Zea mays: one gene and its partner. The protein of the gene in region 1 interacts with the protein of each later gene in a pairwise test. Links are inferred from orthologs where the notes say so. Each region holds a gene or a part of one and is shown on either strand. Other genes may lie near its edges. The genes, in order: regulatory protein viviparous-1 and ABA response element binding factor.

What was found.
Region 2: the proteins of regulatory protein viviparous-1 (region 1) and ABA response element binding factor interact in a two-hybrid assay, tested with the Arabidopsis thaliana proteins (2 studies listed by BioGRID). The link is inferred for Zea mays from reciprocal best matches to the Arabidopsis thaliana genes ABI3 and ABI5.

What each region holds. Positions count from the first base shown.
Region 1 is NC_050098.1:164,986,714-164,998,840, forward strand, and holds regulatory protein viviparous-1, read left to right. Parts: upstream 1-6,260; 5' UTR 6,261-6,406; coding exon 6,407-7,921; intron 7,922-8,147; coding exon 8,148-8,240; intron 8,241-8,882; coding exon of another isoform or gene 8,883-8,885; coding exon 8,886-8,983; intron 8,984-10,083; coding exon 10,084-10,130; intron 10,131-10,239; coding exon 10,240-10,316; intron 10,317-10,595; coding exon 10,596-10,838; 3' UTR 10,839-11,233; downstream 11,234-12,127. UniProt on the Arabidopsis thaliana protein: Participates in abscisic acid-regulated gene expression during seed development. Regulates the transcription of SGR1 and SGR2 that are involved in leaf and embryo degreening.
Region 2 is NC_050103.1:173,331,701-173,343,675, forward strand, and holds ABA response element binding factor, read right to left. Parts: upstream 7,484-11,975; 5' UTR 7,213-7,483; intron 4,875-7,212; 5' UTR 4,795-4,874; coding exon 3,751-4,794; intron 3,646-3,750; coding exon 3,574-3,645; intron 3,457-3,573; coding exon 3,427-3,456; intron 3,283-3,426; coding exon 3,190-3,282; 3' UTR 2,826-3,189; downstream 1-2,825. UniProt on the Arabidopsis thaliana protein: Participates in ABA-regulated gene expression during seed development and subsequent vegetative stage by acting as the major mediator of ABA repression of growth.

The DNA of each region.
Region 1 (12,127 bases):
AGTTCAGGGTCAAAGACCGCCACACCCAAGAGTCCACCAAGCGATCCAAAGAGATCACCCCGTGAACTCCATCCTCGACGATATTCATAAGGGGGTAACAACTTGATTTCGAGTCGCTCATTTTTGTGAACATTACTTTTTTGTTTCCTCTATTAAGCCATACAGGGTAGAGGATGCACTAAGAGATTCGGATTGGGTGTTGGCAATGCAAGAGGAGCTCAACAACTTCACAAGGAATGAGGTATGGCATCTTGTTCCACGTCCTAATCAAAATGGTGTAGGTACCAAGTGGATATTCTGCAACAAGCAAGATGAGCATGGTGTGGTGACAAGGAACAAAGCCCGACTTGTGGCCAAGAGATATTCACAAGTCTAAGGTTTGGATTTCGGTGAAACCTATGCACCCGTAGCTAGGCTTGAGTCAATTCGCATATTACTTGCCTATGCTACTTACCGTGGCTTCAAGCTTTATCAAATGGACGTGAAGAGTGCCTTTCTCAATGGACCAATCAAGGAAGAGGTCTATGTTGAGCAACCTCCCGGCTTTGAAGATAGTGAGTACCCTAATCATGTTTACAAACTCTCTAAGGCGCTTTATGGGCTCAAGCAAGCCCCAAGAGCATGGTATGAATGCCTAAGAAATTTTCTTATCACTAATGGCTTCAAAGTCGGTAAAGCCGATCCTACACTCTTTACTAAAACCATCGCAAATGATTTGTTTGTATGCCAAATTTACGTTGATGATATCATTTTTGGGTCTACTAACAAATCTACTCGTGAAGAGTTTAGTAGGATAATGATTCAAAAATTCGAGATGTCAATGATGGGTGAGTTGAAGTACTTCTTAGGATTTCAAGTGAAGCAACACCAAGAGGACACCTTCATCAGCAAAACAAAGTACATTCAAGACATACTTACCAAGTTTGGAATGAAGGATGCCAAGCCCATCAAGACACCCATGGGAACCAATGGGCATCTCGACCTCGACATGGGAGGTAAATCCGTAGAGCAAAAGGTATACCGGTCAATGATAGGATCTCTACTCTATTTATGTGCATCTCGACCGGATATTATGCTTTCAGTATGCATGTGTGCAAGGTTCCAAGCTGATCCTAAGGAAGTTCACCTTAGGGCCGTGAAAAGAATCGTGATATATTTAGTTTACACTCCTAAGTTTGGTCTTTGGTACCCCAAGGGATCCACTTTTGATTTAATAGGATATTCAGATGCTGATTGGGCAGGGTGTAAAATTGATAGGAAGAGCACATCAGGGACTTGTCAGTTTCTAGGGAGATCCCTGGTGTCTTGGGCTTCAAAGAAACAAAATTTAGTAGCTCTTTCTACCGCCGAAGCCGAGTATATTGCCGCTAGGGCTGGGCAAAAAACTCGTAACCCGAAACCCAAACCCGGAATACCCGAACCTGAACCTGAAATACCGAACCCCGAATTTTGTTTGGGAATTTCGGGTAGCAACTTGCAAAACCCAAATTTATTTCGGGTAATTCGGGTATCACAATCGGGTACCCGAAATACCCGAACTTTCATGTGTCATGTACTCATGTCATGCTTAATTATTAATTTGTGCATCTATATGTGTAAGTGTGCATAACTTGTGATTGTAGATTGCTTGTGTTTTATATGTCCATGTATATCATTATTCAAACTATATTTTTATACTAATTTAATAAGGTGTATGTGTTTTTATGAAGCCGACATAATAGTTCGGGTAGTTCGGGAATACCCGAACTCGAAATTCCGGATACCCGAATTTTCGGGTATTGCAAAACTCGTTGTAATTTCGGGTATCGATTCTCAAAACCCGAAATTTTAAAAACCCGAAATACCCGACCCAAAATTTTCGGGTAACCTGAACGCATACCCCTAATTACCGCAGGCCATTATTGTGCGCAATTGCTTTGGATGAGGCAAACCCTCAGAGACTATGGCTACAAATTGAGCAAAGTCCCTCTCCTATGTGACAATGAGAGTGCAATCCGTATGGCGGATAATCCCGTTGAACACATCCGCGGTAAGCACATAGCCATTCAGTATCACTTTTTGAGGGATCACCAACAAATGGGGGAAATCGAGATTGCTTATGTTAGCACCAAAGAAAAACTAGCCGATATCTTTACCAAACCATTAGATGAGAAAACCTTTACCAAACTTAGGAATGAGCTAAACATTCTTGATTCTTGGAACTTTGATTGATACTTTGCACACATAGCTCATTTATATACCTTTGATCATATCTCTTTTATGTCTATGACTAATGTGTTTTTAAGTTTATTCATATGCTAAGTCATAGATTGAAAGGGAAATGGAGTCTTCGGCGAAGACAAGGCTTCCACTCCACTCTATCGGTATTATTTACCCTTCGCCGTCACTCCGCACCATTCTCCGCTATGGTATAATCTTCACTCATATTTATTTGTACCATTGGGAGAGAAAGTTAAAGGGCTCTTAAAAGACTCCGTTTTTGGCGATTAATGCCAAAGGGGGAGAAATATTAAGCCCAAAGCAAAAGGACCGCACCACCACCACATTTCAAAATTTCTTAAAGTATTTAAAGAGGATTTTTCAATTGGTATCTAAATCTTTTTCATACTGGTAAAACCCTCTTGAACACTAAGAGGAGAATTTCATCCAGGGGGAGCTTTGTTTAAGTCAAAGGAAAAGCATTTGAAACAGGGGGAGAAATTTCAAATCTTGAAAATGCCTTTTGAAATCTTATTCATGTACCTTTGACTATTTACAAAAAGAGTTTGAAAAGATTTTCCAAAAGAATTTGCAAAAACAAAACAAGTGGTGCAAATGTGGTCCAAAGTGTTAAAAGAAAGACAGCAATCCATGCATATCTAGTGAAAGTATAAATTGGTTTAATTCCAAGCAACCTTTGCACTTGCCTTATGCAAACTAGTTCAATTCTGCACTTATACATTTGCTTTGGTTTGTGTTGGCATCAATCACCAAAAAGGGGGAGATTGAAAGGGAAATAGGGTCAAACCTTTTCCTAAATGATTTTGGTGGTTGAAATGCCCAACACAAACAATTGGACTAACTAGTTTGCTCTAGATTATATATTCTACAGGTGCTAAAGGTTCAACACAAACCAATAAAAAGATCAAGTTAGGGTTCAAAAGAAAGGAGCAAAAGAAACCGAAGAGAACCCTGGTCTGGCGCACCGGACTGTCCGGTGCCCAGGGCCGTACTCCTTCAAACATGCCACCTTCGGGTTTCTGGAGAGCCGCTCCACTATAATTCACCGGACTGTCCGGTGTGGCACCAGACTGTCCGGTGCACCAGCGGAGCAACGACTATCCAGCGCAACGGTCGTCTGCAAAAGCGTGAACAATGCGCGTCAGAGTCAGAGCGCAGAGTCATTACGCACCGGCCACTGGACAATAGCTGTCCGGTGCGGCACCAGACGGTCCAGTGCGATATGAAGTCAGCGCTCCAACGGTCGAAACCGTCAGAACCCTAACGGTTGGGTGACGTAGTTGGCGCACCGGACTATCCGGTGCGCCCATTGACAGACAACCTCCCCAATGGTTGGTTTGGTGGTTGGGGCTATAAATACCCCAACCACCACCACTCAAGGCATCCAAGTTTTTTCAGACATCTCATTCAATACAAGAGCTAGTGCAATCAATACAAGACACAATTCAAAAGAATCAAAGCCTCTCTAAGTCCCAAATACACTCCAAACACCTAGTGACTAGAGAGAGAGTTTTGCTAGTGTTCTTTGAGCTCTTGTGCTTGGATCGATTTCTTCTTCCCCATTCTTGTTCTTCAAAGCACTTGTAATCAAAGTAAGAGACACCAATTATGTGGTGGTCCTTGCGGGTTCTAAGTGACCCGGTTGATTAAGGAGAAAGCTCACTCGGTCTAAGTGACTGTTTGAGAGAGGGAAAGGGTTGAAAGAGACCCGGTCTTTGTGACCACCTCAACGGGGACTAGGTTCTTTGGAACCGAACCTCGGTAAAACAAATCACCGTGTCATCCGCTTTATTTTTTGGTTGATTTGTTTTCGCCCTCTCTTCCGGACTTCAATTTTATTCTAACTCTAACCTCGGCTTGAAGTGTGCTTAAAGTTTGTAAATTTCAGTTTCCGCCTATCCACCCCCTCTAGGCGACTTTCATCCTCCCACCCGCTCGCTTTCCTCTCCATCGAGCTCCTTGCATCTCCACAATTGTGGAGTAGGAGCTCCCCGACCGTGTCCAAGACGAAATTAAGACGTGGAGGCTCTGCTCTCTCGGCTGCAGACACAACGCGGATGGTGCGACAACTTCATCTAAGGAGTGTCTGTCGTGTAGGCTCTGGTCCCCTCCCACGCCCGTAAGATGGCATCATAATTTTTAGCTTATAAGTTCATAAATCACATAATAATATCATCACATGTCAAGAGTTTCTTTATATTTTGGGTTATTCGGTCTATTGGGACCAAAAACTGAACCCTAACCCGTACATATGTACTCCTGAATTATAGCAAATGTAGGAATCAAACCCAAACCCAAACCCAAAACCCAATATAGGCTGACAATTTAGTTTATTTGGGTTCTGCTCAGGTTTGGGTTCAGTCTTCAGTTTAAAAATGCCACCCCTAATCTTGAACAATGTAAATATGCAAAGTAGTGATGAACTCAACCCTCGGGTTTAGGTTGAGTCTAGCAGTAGCCGATATCCTCTCATGTACGCTAAATATAGGGGAGGTTATCTCTCCTATCTACTCTAACAATGTCCTTTAAATTTAGAGGACGTTCGTCCTCTATATATATTATCTGCCCTCCCATCTACCCCATTTTAATATTTTAAACAAAGATTAATAACTTAAGATATGTAAAGGCTAGTTCGACAACCTTTTTTCAAGTGATTTCTATTTTCCAAGGAAATTAGTTCATTTTTTCTAGGGAAAATGGAAATCTCTTGGAAAAATGAAGTTACCGAACTAGCCCTAAGGATATAAAAATATGTACGTGCAAAAATCTAGAGCAAAATATATCTCTAATATAAGTATTTATGTATAGATGGTGAGATATAGAGGACACTGATGAATAGAAATTAGATATGGATGAGAGAATCTTTTAAATATTACTGTAAAGTAAGGATATATTGGATGTTGCGTCTTAGGGTGTAAAAATAAAAAATAGAGTTTAAACTATAACGTTTAGAACACAAAATTTAAACTAGTAAGCTTACTGCTTTGTTGTGATATTTAGAATGTGCCGTGGCCCACCTGAACCAACGCCTCCAAAAAAAGTCCAATTGTGGGTTTCTCACGTTTGCATAGAGAAATTAATTGCGCCACCTTCCAAAAGACAACCACATGAAACCTATCAAATTAATCTTCCACCATAAATATATTGTCATCAAAATATCTTTTTGGCATAGCTAGCAGACCCGAAAATTCGGTTGACACCATATTTAAGAACGCCAGTCATCTTTTTTTGTAAATGCACAGGTGGGAAAATGCTAAAAGAACATAAGTACATAGAGCCAAAGATGAAGTAAGAGGAGGACCGCAGATTAATAATAAAAAGCCCGAGGAGTTTGCAAAGGAACTCCTACTACTAGTACAATCCACCCATCTAAGTATACTACACGCAAAGTTCCCAAATAGAAGGGTTCCACTTCCACGTCGTCGTGCCCGCCTTCAAGTCCCCGAATCACCCACACCGTGTAGGTTCCGCGCGTGCGCGTAGAGAAACTCCTCTGCTTCGTAGACAAGCCAGTGGCACCATCCTGGAGCTTCCGTCCGTGGGATCACGCAGAGACTGCATCGGACGGTCAGGAATCGTCCCAACACTCGGGATTCAGTCGGCGCGCCGGCGACACGGACATCCTACGGCGCCGAAGCAGCTACGCGCACGCTGTTTTCTCCACGCACGGGCTCGCGGGGCCCACGCCTCATTGACTGACCAAAAACATGGGCGCTCTCTCGTTTCCGTTTCTGGAGCAGTCAAATTAGAACGCGGCGAAGAGGCGAGACCTGAAAACACACAGACACTGACATGTTGGACAGCATCGCTCGGCCCATGCCATAGACGGGTCATGCACAGAGAAACCTAATCAGTAATAGTTTGTGATACCTCTATGACAAAGTGGGTCCATTATCTTCAGCCCCACGTCTCCGAGAGAGGTATAGGGTGCGCGCCAGGGGTGAGAAGTATGGTGGCCGAGGAGAGGCTGGCGTGGGCGGTGGAGCGCTCCCCTCGGTCGCCACGTGTGTCACGCAGCCGCATCTCGGTTCCCTCCTCTCTCTCTCTCTTCTTCTCCCTCTCCACCTCCTGCTTGCACTGTTCGTCTCCTCAGTAACTGCACCCACCTCCACACCTACACCCGAGAGGCGGCGGCGGCAGACACAGACACCGTCTCTCTCCTCCCTTTGTCGTCGTGTCTCTCTGCATGGAAGCCTCCGCCGGCTCGTCGCCACCGCACTCCCAAGAGAACCCGCCGGAGCACGGTGGCGACATGGGAGGGGCCCCCGCGGAGGAGATCGGAGGGGAGGCGGCGGATGATTTCATGTTCGCTGAAGACACGTTCCCCTCCCTCCCGGACTTCCCTTGCCTTTCGTCGCCGTCCAGCTCCACCTTCTCGTCCAACTCCTCGTCAAACTCCTCCAGCGCCTACACCAACACGGCAGGAAGAGCCGGCGGCGAGCCCTCCGAGCCTGCTTCGGCCGGAGAAGGGTTTGATGCGCTCGATGACATCGACCAGCTCCTCGACTTCGCGTCGCTTTCCATGCCGTGGGACTCCGAGCCGTTCCCGGGGGTTAGCATGATGCTAGAGAACGCCATGTCGGCGCCGCCGCAGCCGGTGGGCGACGGCATGAGTGAAGAGAAAGCCGTGCCGGAAGGGACCACAGGGGGAGAGGAGGCCTGCATGGATGCGTCGGAGGGGGAGGAGCTGCCGCGGTTCTTCATGGAGTGGCTCACGAGCAACCGCGAAAACATCTCGGCCGAGGATCTCCGCGGGATCCGCCTCCGCCGCTCCACCATCGAGGCCGCCGCCGCCCGGCTCGGCGGCGGGCGCCAGGGCACCATGCAGCTGCTCAAGCTCATCCTCACCTGGGTGCAGAACCACCACCTCCAGAGGAAGCGCCCGCGCGACGTGATGGAGGAGGAGGCGGGCCTGCACGTCCAGCTCCCCAGCCCGGTCGCCAACCCACCAGGATACGAGTTCCCCGCCGGCGGACAGGACATGGCCGCGGGCGGCGGCACATCTTGGATGCCCCACCAGCAGGCATTCACGCCGCCTGCTGCGTACGGCGGCGACGCGGTGTACCCGAGCGCGGCAGGCCAACAGTACTCTTTCCACCAGGGCCCCAGCACGAGCAGCGTGGTCGTGAACAGCCAACCGTTCTCCCCGCCGCCTGTGGGCGACATGCACGGCGCGAACATGGCCTGGCCGCAGCAGTACGTGCCGTTCCCACCGCCTGGGGCTTCCACGGGCTCTTACCCTATGCCGCAGCCGTTCTCCCCCGGATTCGGCGGGCAGTACGCCGGCGCCGGCGCTGGCCACCTCTCAGTGGCCCCCCAGCGCATGGCAGGCGTGGAGGCCTCGGCGACCAAGGAGGCCCGCAAGAAGCGCATGGCGAGACAGCGGCGCCTGTCCTGCCTGCAGCAGCAGCGCAGCCAGCAGCTGAGCCTGGGCCAGATCCAGGCCTCCGTCCACCTGCAGGAGCCGTCCCCTCGGTCCACGCACTCCGGCCCGGTCACGCCGTCAGCAGGCGGCTGGGGATTCTGGTCGCCGAGCAGCCAGCAGCAGGTCCAGAACCCGCTCTCCAAGTCCAATTCATCAAGGGCGCCGCCTCCCTCGCTGGAAGCGGCGGCGGTGGCGCCACAGACAAAGCCCGCGCCTGCTGGTGCTCGGCAGGACGACATTCACCACCGCCTCGCAGCGGCTTCAGATAAGCGGCAGGTGCATGCATGCGTAGCTTGGCATCGCTAGCCAGCACGAGATCTATACCAATCTGTGTTCTTGCGTTTGCTCCGAATAGAGAGAGACGCACATCGCTGTCGAGCAATAGAATCGACGTGCGCGTGTGCCGTACGCTCGCTCGCGTACGGGTTCGATGCGTGTGCTCCTCGGGTGTTCACTCACGCGTATATGGTTCTGATGGACGAACATGTGTGTGGGATTGCAGGGCGCCAAGGCGGACAAGAACCTGCGGTTCCTGCTGCAGAAGGTGCTGAAGCAGAGCGACGTCGGGAGCCTCGGCCGCATCGTGCTCCCCAAAGTGAGACAGACGCCGGCCGGCCCTTCATGATCTGCATCATATCTATACCCCCCACTTGCGCATATAGATCTATCTACTTAGGGGGTGTTTGGTTAGAGGGACTAAAGATTAGTCTCTAGTTTTTAGTCCCTTTTAGTCCCTTTTTTGCCAAACACTAGGACTAAAATATGGACTAAAATGATTGCCAGTAGAATTAAAAGCTCATAATTATCATGTTGCCCTTACCTTTTTATAGATAACTAATATCATGAGTATATTCTAAGGGTATTTGAGTCTTTGGACAATGTATTTAATGACTTTAGAATCTATTTAGTCCCTAGAACCAAACATATAGGGACTAAAGTTTAGTCCTAGGACTAAAGTTTAGTCCTAGAACTAATTGAAACCAAACATGCCCTTAGCTTGCATTGCGCGTGCATGCATGCCTGTTGCATCAGTTTGGTCACTTTCTGTTCTTGAACTAACTAAAATCGGCCATGGATAGGTCATATATATAGATCTACGCATATATACCAAAGCTCGCAAACTGCCCCTGAATCTGTTCTTCAAAACCGCCTTGCCTTTTTTAAACTGAACTGGGCCGTGGTTGGTTTGGCATCTCAACTAAAAATCGTCGCCTTGTCTTGTTTTTGGACGATTCAGAAGGAAGCGGAGGTTCACCTGCCGGAGCTGAAGACGAGGGATGGCATCTCCATCCCCATGGAGGACATCGGAACGTCGCGCGTGTGGAACATGCGGTACAGGTGAGTGTGTGTGTCATCATTGGTCTAGGGACAGACGTCGAGCATCCATAAATTAAATCCAGTTGCTGGCTGCTGTTTTCCTCGAATCTGTTTCTTCTCCTTCTCCTTTTCCTTTGTTTGTTTGATTGATTGATTGAGAGCTGCTGCCTGCAGTTCGTGCATGGTCGTCTACTGGGGGCAGGGAGAGATATATAGGTAGTATACCACTAACCACTGGGCCAGAGATAGTAAATGGCATGAGTACGACATCTGTGGCATGGTCCCTTTCTTTCCCAATTTGGCAAGTGGGTCATATGAATATAGTGTACGATGAGAATCCGAGGAGCAAATAGTGGCATGCACTCGTCTACACGGAATTCTGCACGCAATAAACATGCATCTTCTCCAACTTGCTGATAAGCCTGATATATAACATACCACTACCACCAGGTCAGGTGATATTTGTTCTGAAAATGGCATCTTCTGTTCGGTCCAAAATATGATTGCCAGGACACCACAGTAAACATGGTCTCTCAGTCCAGGACACCACAGTAAACATGGTCTCTCAGTCCTCCGGATCTCTCGTTAGTACAGCGAAGCTCTATAGTGATGTTCCTAGAGCTATTTTCACTGGCGTTTTTCAGTGACGCCAGTGCTAGGGGCCAGTAGAATTCGAATAAACAACTGACCCCTAGCACTGACGACACTAAAAAACGCCAGTGCAAATAGCTTTAAACCGCCACTATAGAGCTTCTTTGTACTAGTGTTTGGCAGCTAGGTGCACATCTTTGTGCAGCAGCCATAGTCGCGTTTTTTCTTCTTCGTCGTCGTCTTGTGGCTCTTTCTTCTGGTTTGGCTTTCTCATACTAATGAAGTTTATTAATCTTTAGTAATTCGAGTTGCGAAAATAATAATAACAACTTGTTCCAGTAGTGCAGGTTCTATGAAAATGAGGTAACTGTTTTTTTGGATTCTCATATGATCTGGTGATGTTTTTTTTCCAAAACTGGATTACCTTGCTGAAAACTAAAATTATTATTCATATATACGGTATAGTATCGACTGTTACCAGTGCAATGTCAGTGCTTTCATCAGCTGAGCTCCTTATTGCATGCACGCAGGTTTTGGCCCAACAACAAGAGCAGAATGTATCTGCTGGAGAACACAGGTGAGAGGATCTTAACGTTATGATTTCCATCCATCCGACCTTGACAACGATTCTTCGTCGTTATGGTCTGTCTGATCTTTTTTTCCTGTTTTTCTTTCTCAACCTGCAGGGGAATTTGTTCGTTCCAACGAGCTTCAGGAGGGGGATTTCATAGTGATCTACTCCGATGTCAAGTCGGGCAAATATGTATGTTCTTCTATTGCCGACTATTTCCTTGCTACATAATGCTCGTTTTTCTGGTCCATATGCCTGCATCATTAGTCAACTCAAACGTGTTGTCGTCCTTGAAACTGCAATCCAAATCTACGCAACCGTTTTGCATGCCACTGTTTGTATGTGGATGCCTGGATGGCAATCAAGGACATAGTGGCATCTTTTGATCTCGCTGTTCATGGAATTGGTTTACTTCAGCAGCAACTCATCAAGAACCCTGAAACCCCCCTTGTGTCCTATATATATCCACAGCTGATACGGGGCGTGAAGGTAAGGCCCCCGCCGGCGCAAGAGCAAGGCAGTGGTTCCAGCGGGGGAGGCAAGCACAGGCCCCTCTGTCCAGCAGGTCCAGGGAGAGCCGCAGCCGCCGGTGCTCCTGAAGACGCCGTCGTCGACGGGGTCAGCGGCGCCTGCAAGGGGAGGTCTCCGGAAGGCGTGCGGCGGGTTCGGCAGCAGGGAGCCGGCGCCATGAGCCAGATGGCGGTGAGCATCTGAAAGAGCAGCAGACTCCGCCATATATTGATCGATCGACCAATCGATCGTTAGTTCTCCAAGTTACTATTAGCTAGCTATAGCTCGAAACAGCTGAACTGATGATGACGATGGTAACCTCCGTCGTGTGTGCTAAGCATGTAGCGTGCTAGGAGATGATATATTAAATATAATCGAGTAGTAGAGCCACCCGCTGTGTGACGCTAAATTTGTGTGCATGGTTTGGTTTGTGAGTTGGGCCCGTGCGTGGCTGTGTCATGTCGTGGTTAATTAGCTATACTAGTCCTGTCTGTACATGCATGGACATACCTGATCTCTCGGCCATTGGTGTCGGCGACGTGCCATTCGGCTAACAAGACGACAGCTGCAGCCTGCAGCAAAAGCTAGAACATTCTACACATGCCTTCGTGTATGTTATGCTTTGTAGTTTCCTGGATGCATGCATTGCATATAGTGGTGTCCTGCTTGGTTTATGCCCAAAATTTGTCATACCAAAGATTTAGGAAGACAAAATCCGATAAAAAATAATCGTTATACATTTGTCAAGCCACAGGCAAATATGAGAGGTTGAGAGATTTTGGTAGCAAACCAAATAATAATAGTCACGAACCAAGATTTGTCAAACGGAATGATAGTATGAACCAAAATTTGTCATGCATGCCAAGCCAAAGCCAGATTAAAAAAAATCTGTTATGGATTTGGCAAGCCAAATGTGAGAGGTTGACAAGTTCTGTAACAAACCAAATGATAGCTAAAACCATAGCTTGTCAAATGCTTGGCTTGACTTAGCAATCATATTTTGAAAGCCAATTAACTAACCGCGCACCCAACTTTGTTGCAAGCATGGGTTGCTTTTTTTTTTCCGAACAAAGCGTGCATGGTGGTTGCTTTTTTATTATTATATATAAACAATGCTGATGGAACGAAGCACAGTGGTGATAAGCGATGAACAGAAACGACCACCATGCGTGTGTATATATGCAGAAAAAAAAGGTGGGTGGTTCTTTCCTAAAATTATTTATGTGTATAAACAGGAAGGAAAGGAAGGCCACACATGCTGCATCTGCATCACGCACGGCACCTAACCTGCTGGTTGATTCCTGATGCGCCCCTAGATTCCTCATCTGGACAGGACAATGGACGACGACGGGGCATGCATGGCCGGGACTTCGTTCGCTGCGGCGAGCCGGCGACCGGGCTCGACGGATGGAGTGGATCCACACCCGTGGCCAGCAGCCCCGCGCGCCAGGCTGTCCGTTCGTCGCCATGTGCGGCGCTGGCGTTGGAAACAT
Region 2 (11,975 bases), on another chromosome or scaffold:
GGAGGAGATTCTTCCGCTTATAGTCGGCCAGACGGCCTCGCTAACCTCGTCGCGTCCTAACGCTGTCCCCTCCCCGAAAGACACGCAGTCACGCAGAAGCGCGCTGCCCGGGTCGCGCGACCTAGGGTTTCGGGGCTCGCCGGTCGCGTCGCCTGGGGGTGGGGATCTTTCTCTAGTTCTCTCCTCTCTGAGTTGAACCTTTGAAGAAGGTGGAGAATGGAGACGCAGACTCCGGACGCGAGAATCTTCCGGTTCCGGTCCGACCGGTCGGCGCGCAGTACTGTCCACCACGCGTGCGTGGATGAAAACGGTACCCCAACTGTAGGAAGTACTCCCTCCGTTACATTTTAGTCTAAAACGCTGAATTGTATCAAGCACATTGTTTCAAATACTTATGTTTGAACTAGCACATTGTTTCAAATAATTATGTATGAAATTTGATACTAATTATTAAGCACATTGTTACAGATAAAAATTAAATTTTACATAAATTGTTTCAAATATTGTTTGCTCTCTACAACAAAAAGTTAATGTATCTGAATTGTGTCTGACTTTTATATCTATCATTTGAGAAGATATATAATAAAATTTTAGTTTTACTGTTTACAAAACTTTACAAGCTCAATGCTAAAAACAATAATATGAATCTACATAGCATACTATATATCATATTTATTAACAATCAAATAAAAATGCCAAAAATCACTATCCGAATGAGTACCCATTTTCATTCCACATAAGGTGGGATTTTCTATTTCCATTAGGTCATTAACCTTTTTGTGGTATCTAGGTATGAAAACGGACGGAAAACATTTTGTTTCGTCATATATCCTATTTATTGAATAATGTTGACAAAAAAGTGTTGTCTTTATTCAAGTTATCGATCTTTTAAAAACATATGTTTTTGTGCCGACTTTTAAACTTGTTAAGTCATGATTTATAGTGTCCTATTAATATTGTAGTTTGCTAAGTGATTGTACAATATTATATATTCTAGCCAAAGTTTTCGCTTACCGTCCGTTTTCGTTACATATCTGTTCGTTTTAGTTCATTTTCGTGTAACCATATATCTCGTAACTGTTTCAGTTTTCGGCTATGCAGCTCTCGCTCATGTTTTCAATAAAAATTATAGTAATGGAAATGAGACAGTGATTTTTCCGACCGTTTGTGTTCGTCGTGAGTTCATGACCCATCTTGACCGTATCAACTCAGATAACAGTGGCCTATTCTTATTAAAAATTTTATTCTTATATATAACATATATGATTTGTTTTTTGTTTCTATTAATATTTTATTTTTTTATTTTCCCCTCATTTCAAGTTTGTTGTCTTATGATTTTTATTCCTTTTTATTTGTCATCCCTTTTATTTTTATTTATACTCTAAGAAATTATTTAATTTATTTTTATTCTCTGTTTTATTATTTTTGCTTTTTTATGTTTTTCTCCTTTTATTTTTTTTTCTTTAGATTTTCCTAATTTCGTCTTGTGTTTTCTTTCTTTCTTATTTTACTTTTATTAACTATTTCCTACCAAAACTAAATCAGTTCTGACTTTTAATGGATTTATGTAATATTTAGCGTATATATTTTATATATGTCCACATCCATCATTATCTAGTTAAATATAGGTATAAAAAATAAAACAAATATTATTTTGGAATAGAGGTATTATTGTTTTCTTTTCCGAAGGAAGTGAATGCTGGTGGCCCACATTAACTCTCGAGGTGCATGTGAGTTTCTATCATATTTACTTTTTTATTTTATTTTTCTATTTTATGGATGTCGTTATTTTATTTCCCTTTTGTATTTTTATTTTAGCTATAAATGAAGATTTCATTAATAAATTGTTGCACGGTAATTTTTCGTTATATTTTTTTTCTACCAATAAAGAAACACAGCAGTAGCTTTTACATTTATCCTACTCTGCAGTCTGTAGGACGGCAACGTGGGCCAAATCACTTGAGCCGACTACCTTTCAACTGCGGACAACAATGTGGGCCAAAAAATCATTTGAGGCACCCATATAAATGCCAAACAAAAAAAAGAACTACCCTCAGATAAAGGATGTGTTTATTCCCCTCCTAAATTATATAAGTTGAATTATTCTATAAGGATAGTAGAGTAAAATGTTATTTTGAGACTAAAAAAATAACATAAGGTAGCATTGGATAGCTTATTCAACTTATTAGTCTCAAAGTAATATTTTACCTTTCTACTCTACTACCATAATACAACTTAATCTACGATGGAAGGACATTAGCATTTTTTTACGTCGCATGGACTGTAAATGGTGTGTTTCCTCTGGCCCAAACACTAGACCTTTCAAGTTTCTGTTTCCCGGTTGCCGTTTACTTGCTTGTTTTCTTGCTTCTAAGGCCCTCTTTAGGAGGGCTTCATTTCATTATAAGAATTGCATCTTCGGTTTTCTAACTTTATCGTGAAACGGCTTCAACAGATTAAAATGTTTGGTTTGTACATAGGCTTCAACTTCTGTAATACAATTAATTTATATGAGTTTACTTAATTACCCTTGATGATTAACGGGTGAAGAAAGAGACATGAATCGATAGGTCATGTAACCAATGATATGGTGACTATTTTTTTGTTCAACTTCATGAAGAGTGTTTTTGAAACACCCTTCCCTTCGAGGAGCTTAAAAAATTTCATGAAATTAGCCTCTAATTTCAGCTTTTCTTAGCCTCTAGTTTCAGTTTTTTTTTAACTAGAGCTTATAGAGCTAGATCTGTTTAAGTAGAAAAAGCTGAAATATACATGGAATTCTTAAAGTGAAGCTCTACCAAACAACATTCGGTTGCTGGTAGCCTCCGAATCCAACCATTTGCATCGCACGAGAATACCAGAATCAAATGCACGATATACACAGACATAGGACTCAGTATGGCCCATGTCAAATAAACATGGACGAAAACACATAGCTTTGTGTTGAGTTGCTATCTTAAAGACAGCTGGTTTATTGTTTGTACAACCCAAGGCTTATGAACAATAGCAGGCCAACGCGGAAGCTCTTGCCCATATATCTATTAGTCCCTCAGAGACGTATGCGTCAATCACATCGCGTACTGTTACCAATGGTTCTGGTACCGACAGGTACAGCACTTTCCATGGAAGCAAGCAAGCAAGCGCCAATCGAACTGGAACTGCACAACGCGAGTCTCACTCGTCACAAGTTCACCACATGGCGCTGCCCCACCGGCGCAGTCCGGGACCGACCTTCTTGGCGCTCACATTCTCCCTTGCCTGCTCCATCATCTTCTCCACCAGCTGAAACAGACACAAAAAGCCATGGCAGGGTTGCCTTCAGGACACTGTCTTGTCTTGACAGAGCATATCGACTGTTACACTGACAACTAGCAAATGACCGGTACTCCGTAAAAGGAAGCGATTGAGTGAAACTTGTTACTGTACCATCTTTTTCTTCGACAGCAGAATCGTCCTCTGCAAAACAAAAACGCAACACGGACGTCGTGTTTGATCAGATCAATGCATAGTAGTATACTAGATATGAATAAGGAGATGGTGTCATGACGAACAAATGCTTCGCCTTCCCAGTACCTCCTCTGCTCTGAGGCGCTCGTTCTCCTCCTTGAGATGGTTCAGCTCAGCCTCAAGCTCCACGGTATACGCCTGCACCAGCATCGGCATCATTCCAGGAGCAGACCGAGACCGAGTCTGTCAATGACACGCGCAATACGCAAAGAGCACGAAAGTCGACGAGGACAGCTCGCACACCTGCTTCCGGGCGCGTGACCGGGCCGCGGACTCGCGGTTCTTGATCATGCGGCGCTGCCGTCGCTCCACGGTCTTCTCGGTGCACCCGTCCTCGGGGAAGTCGCGCTTCCGCGCGCCGCCGCCGCCGTTGCGGACCACCCCTCCGTTGCCAATGCAGTTCATCATCTCCGCCTGCGTCATGGCGCTCATCCCGTCCGACGACCCCGGGCTGGCGGCGGCCGCCACGCACTGAGACGGCGGCGGGGGCGGCACCACCGCCACGCCCCCGGGGTACCCGCCGCCGTGGTACCCCATGCCGTCGCCCATCACCGGGTATACAGCGCCGGGCGGCGGCGCCGCCGCTGCCGCCACCTGGTACATCATGGGAGGAGCCGCGTTGTGCTGCATGCCCATCGGGCCGGCCGGGACCATGCCGACGCCGTGGCCGTGGCCGGCGAAGGCGCCCCGCACGACGCCGGCCTTCACGAGGAAGTCCTCCAGCGTCATCTCGCCCAGCGTCGCCTGCCGCCCGCTGGCCGCGACGCCGCCGCCGCTCGCCGCCTGGGGCTGCGCCACGGGCTGCGGCGCCGCGCTGGCCTGGAAGTCCGCCGGGCCCTGGCTGATCTCGGCCCAGACCTCCTCCACCGTCTTCCGGGACAGCGGCGGCGGCAGCGCGAACGAACCCTGCCGAACCAGTCCCCTCCCACTTCCTCCTCCTCCTCCGTTCTCACCTGTGCCCGTCGTCGTCGCCACGGGCACCGGCTCACGCTCCGCGCCCTCCTTGTTGCAGCCGGCTGTGGCGGCCTGGAACTCCTCGGCGTTCCATATGTTGGCCATGAACTCGTCCATGTTCATGGATCCGAAGTTGCGGCCCGGCTCGCACAGCGAGTTCTGCAGCTCCTCCAGCGTCAGCGACATAATGGACGACTGCCGCGCCAGCGGGTCCACCGCCTGCTGTTGCTGCTGCTGCTCCTCGGCAGCGTCGCTGGTCTGGGCGCGTGAGTGCTGCGAGGTGACCTCCTGCTCGTCGAGGGCCTTCACGTTTTTGCTCATCTCGGACGCCATCTCTCAGTCGACCTATGAGACTGGCTCCTTTTAGGACACTCTCTGCTGATGCGTTGTTGAACGCGACGCGTGCTTATAGCCTGCATGCGAAAGCCAGGCGTGGTGATCAGAAAACATTGGTGCATGCATCGAGAAAACCCAGGTGCGGTGCCGGGTAGGGGCTTCATCGTCATCAATAACAAACAGCCAGTCCAAATTACGCGCGCAGCCGCAGTTTGCTGCGCTTCGGTCAGGCTCTGATGACTGATCGGCATCGTCTCTAGCATGCGTGGATAGACGCTTCCTCTGTTTGGATCTTTGTTCAGAAGTGAATTACCAGCAGCTTCTTGCAGAGGATCTTCTGCGCTCTCCGGCGTCGCATGTTGCGCAGAGGCCAGAGCGCAGTACTTATCCTGACAGAATAATCTACGCACCCCAGTGCAGGACCCTGACGAACATTCAGCACGTGCTTGTTGTCGACTTCTCCACCGCCGCACGAGATCAGATAGATACAGGGAGCGGTGTTGTTACACAAAAGAGTATACGACGAAACCTCGGGCTCCTTTTCCCCGGTTCTGTTATGTATTAATTATTTTTTTATATACCAGTGAGCTCGGCGTGCTCTGTTCCGTTGCCTGGCAGAGGCCAAAATTAGCGCGTGTGAGTGTGACGTTGCTCTCCGGCCGTTTCCTAAACGGGACAGGTCACTGCTGATGGACCGCGAGGAGGCGTGACCATCTGAACCGGGTTTCCTACGGCTTCCCGACGAGCACGAGCACGCTGTTGACATCTAGCTCGGCTGCAGCCAAGACACCTCAGTGTATGTTACCGACGTAGCGTGATCGTCTACTCCTATTCATTCAAACTCGAATGGCGCGTCCGGCGTGCCTCGCGGAATTTGTATCTGCATGACGTACTTGTCCGGGTACAGTGTAGAAGGGTGTTTGGTTTGCCTTGTTTGTTTATTGCCAATACATTTGGATTAAATAAGATTGAAATAAAATAACAAAATTTTTGATTTGTTTGGGATTTAAATCCAAACGTTCTCACTCAATCTATATATAGATTGAGAATTGAGAGCGAACCGAACATAAAATGAGTGGTTTACTAGCATTAAATATAGTTTAATTATAAAATTAATTATACAGCTAAATAATAAAATATAAAATGAATTTATTAAAACCAAATAATTGATAATCAAACATTATTATTTAAGCATTTGATGTGATACGAACTAAACTAAAAACTAAATTTTAGTCGCAAAACCGTACATGCTCTCAAAAGAGCATGCCCTCTAAAAATAACATGTAGCCACAAGCCTGTTTGGATTTTCAAGTTTAGCTAAAAGTATAGTGCTAAAATTTAGTACCATGCTCCAAAAGATCCGTTGTACTTGGGGCGCTTCATCGCGAAAGTGTATGCCAATTGTTGCGGGTACATGGTACTACTTTTATCAGGGCTGGACTGTTAAGGCTTATTCCAACAATTCCTTCTCTCATCGCACTCTATTTATACTTTCTATTCATTTTCAAATACACCATACTCTTTGGTTCTTTCCCCTCTCTATTAGGGCTGGACATTTTTAAATAGATTTAGGTTTGTTTCTAAATAATTGAAACTGTGCAAAAAAAAATATTAAAAAAATATGCTGTAGTAACATTAATGTTGTTATATCCTAGTCCTCCGTGACAACATGATTGCATCAGGTGACATATTCAGAATGCTCTGCTTTTAAATCACTCTTTGCTTTGCTCTGTTGGTATCTGACCATTGCAGTTGCAGCTGGCGTTACTAAAAGACTGGCGACGCATACTAACTTCTTGGATCTACATCTACTTCAACTCCGTGAACGACAGGCATCGGTGCTGAATACGAGCAGAGTTTCACAAATCACCTTTTATATCCTAGATGTGGAATGCTCAACTACTTCGAAATCTATGCAGACAACAGACACATTGCAGCACCTCCTGTATGATTCGGCATGCAAGATTTGTTGTCTCTATACACTGCGAAACCATGTGTTCCATCTCTCTGTAATTACAACGAGGCGATTGCTACAGCTAGCGCCAAATATTCATCTACACAACCGAGTTAATAACGAAATACTAGTATTTTTTTTTTACCATTTTCATCAGATTTATTCTGTATGTGTGCTCTGGATTTCATGCATGATGTTTGCATTCAGTAGCAACAAAAAAACAGTCACGAAAGGCAATACTGTATTACCAAACAAGGGGCGTGGCAAAGCCGCGCAGAGTAGGGTTCTAGTCATCTAGTGCTGTGGTCACGGATTGCGCGGCGAACAGTATTACCAGACCACAGGCAAACACCTCGCATTTCTAACTGAAAACCCCAAACAAAACGAGCAGAGATGTCTGCATATGCTGAAACGGAGGTGGAGAGCGAAGGCGAGGCGAGGCGAGGCGACGCGGTGCGTACCTCCTCAGGCGCCGCGGAAGCCGGAAGGGAGCCGCCCGCCTCCAGGCGGCCGCGTGCGTCCGGGTCCGGCAGCCGCGATGCGCAAGCGGGCCAAGCTTTGCTATCGACCCGCGGCGACGAAGTGATAGCAACGACGAGCCGCTGAAGCGAAGCGACCGAGTTGGTAGACGGGGAGCGAGACCTGCCGCGTGGTCGCGCGCGGGCATATGTTGTGGGCCGGGGCTGGATGCGGCGCCGAAACGGAGGTAATTAGCTAGTAGAGTAGTGATGTGCCGTGCGCTTCCATTCCGCCATTACTTATAGGCTTGGACGCGTTGGTGGGACTGGGAGAGACGACGACGCCCCCTGTCGTTTGGACGTGTCGGGCTCGTCGGCACGTTGCCTTTCCACCGCCAGCAGCGATAGCTATCCTTTCCTTTCCTTCCGCGGAAGGGAAGGGAGTCACACAGCCTCAGAGGGAGGGGGAGGGGCGATGGGCTCCGAGTTCCGAGGAGCCGCTACGGGCCCACCGCTCAGCTGCTGCATGCTGCTTGCTTCCGCCTCGGGGTTTTGTTTTTTGTCAGACCTGCTGCCCATGCATCCAGCAGGCGCAGCCGACGCCCGCAGTCTGCCGCGCGTTATCTCCTTGCTTTTGCAGCCGATGCCCGCAGTCGGCCGAGCCGAGTTGCGCGCCACCGGTGGCAGCTGTGGTGCCACTGCTTCGGGCACCCGCGCCGGTGCACACCGGATGAACGTTTGCAGTCTGCATGTCCGATCCGCGCCAACTTTAGGATCGGTTAAAGATTTTAACAAAGGTTAATGTAAAATCCTCACCACCTTTTTTCTACGTATCAATGCCAGCCTTGTCCCAGCTGCATGTATACGCCGGTCATTACATACGTGTTACCGTGTACTACCTGTTTACGTATTTAGTAGTAAGTATTTTGCAGATAGAGGTACTCTTGTCACGGTTTCAGCACTGAAAGCAAGCAAAGGCTCACGGTTCCAGGATAAGGCCCCAACAGTGCAGCATTGTAAAAGTGAGTTTGCAAAAGAATTACATCTGATCACGCTTAGAGCTAAAGGAAGATTCGATTCGGTAATACCTGAATAGCTTCAACACTGGCAGTAGATCCAGCCAATTTTATCCTTTTATATTTTTTTGTAATTTTCTTTCCTGTATAATTCTAATCCGGTCGTTTTTAAAGTTTTAACAAATTTTTCAGTAGGGGCTTGCCCCTCCTGTTCAATAAAAAAAGGCTCACGGTTTCAGCCGCGGTCGTCTCCTGCGGGTATTATGTCGGCGTGGAGAAGACAAGACATGCATGCATGCGTGCCGGGTGGTCGTAGGAAATAAGACCCGGGCCAAAAACGTACAGGCCGCCAGAGATGGACACGTGCAGGATACGTGCCGTGCCGTGACGTGACGGTGATCCCCCCACCCCGTGCCTGCACCCTGCAGTCGCCGGTCCAATCTCCGTTGTTCAGTGCAATCAATGGCTTTTGCCTGAGCCTCCGCTGTCCGCGCGCCTCCACTGCTCCACATCTACTGGCCCCGCGTCGCTTGGAGCTTTCCACCAAACGCCATTTGCAAATTTACGAGCCGCGCCGATTGGCACGCCTGGAATGACTGCAGGGAAGGTTTTAGCATTAGCCATTGCACGAGGTGAGGCGAGGACGTGTTTGTCTGAGGGGGAGAATTCACTACTAGCTGTTATTAAAACTGATTATGATGGTTTCTTTGTTGCTATTAAAGATTAGACCAACTCTATTAATGGCTGGCTGCGGATCCGTATCCTATAGAGTGACAGACAACGATACGGAGTTGCACAGTAGCCCATAAAGCTCTATAAACGGCTTCGTAAAGCGGTGTAAGCAAGGCGTCGGCTGGGTTGCGTAGATAAGAGAGAATACACGATAAAAGGGAGCCCACCTCCGTCCCGTTTTTTCTGTCGCTGGATACGACGACTGCTGGGGAACTCAACAGTGTGAAAACACGTAAATTTTACGGATGCACGCCCGTACACGGGCATACGGCTCCTGCTAGAGTCTTACAATCTTCTTTGGCTGATATCAATTTATAGTTTTACTAGGTCTGTACCCGTGCGTTGTCACGAGAATAAAAAATTAGTATGAAACATAGATACAAAACCACAAACCTCACTATAATATGTAAATTCGTGATGCAAAATATCACCACAGCACTAACATTATATTGACAATATAAATATGTAATACTATTATAAATACACATGCCCAAATAAATTGAACTGATGTCGAACAAATATTATCAATATCGCACAAATTATTTCAAAAGAGTCAATATAAAATTCTTAATGATAGGCAAATATCATCAGAAGATTCACTTCCATGGTTGAACCTGGAGGATAAATTTGACCTCGGTGTGCTAGCCTTCCACCTCGTGCATTCCACGTTGTACCTCTTCATCATTAAGAATACATTGATAATATATTGATAATGTACATTGATATAAAAACACTAATTATTTGTGATAGCATTCCAGACAGCCTTATCGCATAAAAAAGACAACCATTTTCTGCATAATGTACAAGGTTGACTCAATGATGAAGAGATAAGCTGCTGAGAAACTTGCAGGTGACAACTCAGATAAGAAATTATGCATGGTACATAAAAATATGTTAGGAAACTATAACGATAAGGCACTACCCATTATTTAAGTGTTGCAAAATACCTCTACTCACTTGAACAATAGTTTAGCCTGTTTAATAGCTGACTCGAATAAAAGGCTATGCATACATTCACATTCTCTGGATCATTCATTATCTTTTTTATTGTCATGGACCACATATAATCTGAATAACATAGCTGCAGCATTCTCCTTGGCCTTTGTCATCCAACCATTCTTCAACATTAATGGTAAGATGCAGACAATCCACTTGTTCCATGGTTTGTGTCTTGTTTGGCTCATAGATCGATAGATTGAGCAGTGGGATCACTGTTTTCTCCTGCGCCACCCAACCCGATAACAGCAGCAACTAAAAAGGCATGTCATTGTTGTGATATCATGCATTCACAACAATTAGAATGGTAAATTCACTATGCATCAATAAAGTTCAGTAACAATTAAAACCCCTTAAGTTCAGTGACAACCATTGTTCAAGTGTGCCTAGAACCATCTGCTTTCCAACCTATGAGATTGTTAAAATCTCTTGAAGTTAAGTGAAAACAACAACATACCAAAATATGAAAAATAACTCCTTTATAGGTATGTGAAAGCATAATGTAGATATCAAATCTACATTTGTGATGGAGCAACTGAACAATGAAGCTCAACACAAACATTTAAAGAATGTCATTAATTTTGCACCATGGTTGTAAGGGTAGAATACTCTGACAAGTGCAAGAATGAATATAAAGGTTATGCTGAAGAGGTGCCACATAAAAGATTGTTAGGTATATTTTTTTAATCGAAACAATGAGTTGGAGGAATAATCTATCCCTACAAAATATTATAAATAGAGAGAAAATAGCCACAAGTCGTGTCCAGTCCTATCTACGAAAGAGAAAAAAACTTAAGGTCCAGCCAACTGTTTCCATGGATAAGATATATTGTCAATAGACCAATAGAATTACCACTTATATAATTAATATTATTAATACAAATATTTCCATTGGTCTATTTGTACTTTGGAGTGATTCATGTTTGCCTTGCCCCATCTGTCCTTGCGCCATGTTTATGGACACGGAGTGCACTAACTGGTTGTACTGGAAAATAAAATTTAGACAATAGGGAGTACTCATGTGAGGTCCTAGATTTTTGTACTTCTAACAATGCCATATCACAGTTACTAAGCATGATAGCATGGTGAACATATATTTTTAGTAGAGCTCAGAACGTTTTCATTCAGTCCACACAACATAGCTGAACATATACGTATGGGTAAAGCTCCGTCCCGGACGGCTGGTTATTATGCAAATAATTTGAGCTCGCAAGAGTAAATTTACAAAAACATAGGATTCGATGTTCTGAAATTTACATGAGACAAAACAAAAACAATGATTGGGTGAATATTAGAATCCAAAAAAGAGACAATAGTTTTGAGAAAGAGAGAGCGCAGACACTGGATTTGTCGATTGGATTAGCTATACAGAGGGGAAGGCTGTGTGTGCAGTGTGCAGTGATCGCCTCTAGAATCTGCATTCTATAAGGCAAGAAGATAAAAGTCACATGACAAGAGTTGTTGAGCCGTGCATTTGAGTTTTTTCTCCTCTGTACACCCCTATCACACACACAACACACTCCTACTCTCTCTTTTCATCAAAAGGAATGCTAGAAAGATAGGTAAAAAAATTCATGGCATACTATGTACCGATATTGCATTCTTGCTAAAAAATTACTAACATGTGGATGCTAAATAGTAGACTTTGTGTAACTAAAAATTCAACAGCACCTCTGATCACGGGCCCTCCGCATGAGTCAGTACAAAATAGTATAAGTTGTGCTACAACCTATAGTACCTTGCAAACAACGAAAGCCTGAACCTTTGTTTAAGTGAAACTTGCTAGCCTGGGGATTACAGAACAAAAATGTTTTACCCACAACCATCAGCTTCTGGCGTAGCTGCAAAACATCCATTAATTCTGGCAATCAGTTTACATCACTCACATAAAATATTTTCACAGAAATAGGATATAGAAAGAAACTGAAAGACAGAACCAACTTAGCACTACCGCACATGTGTCTCGACGCTAGACAGATGTAGTTGATATTCGAGATCAAATCACATCCTTCCTCATCTCGA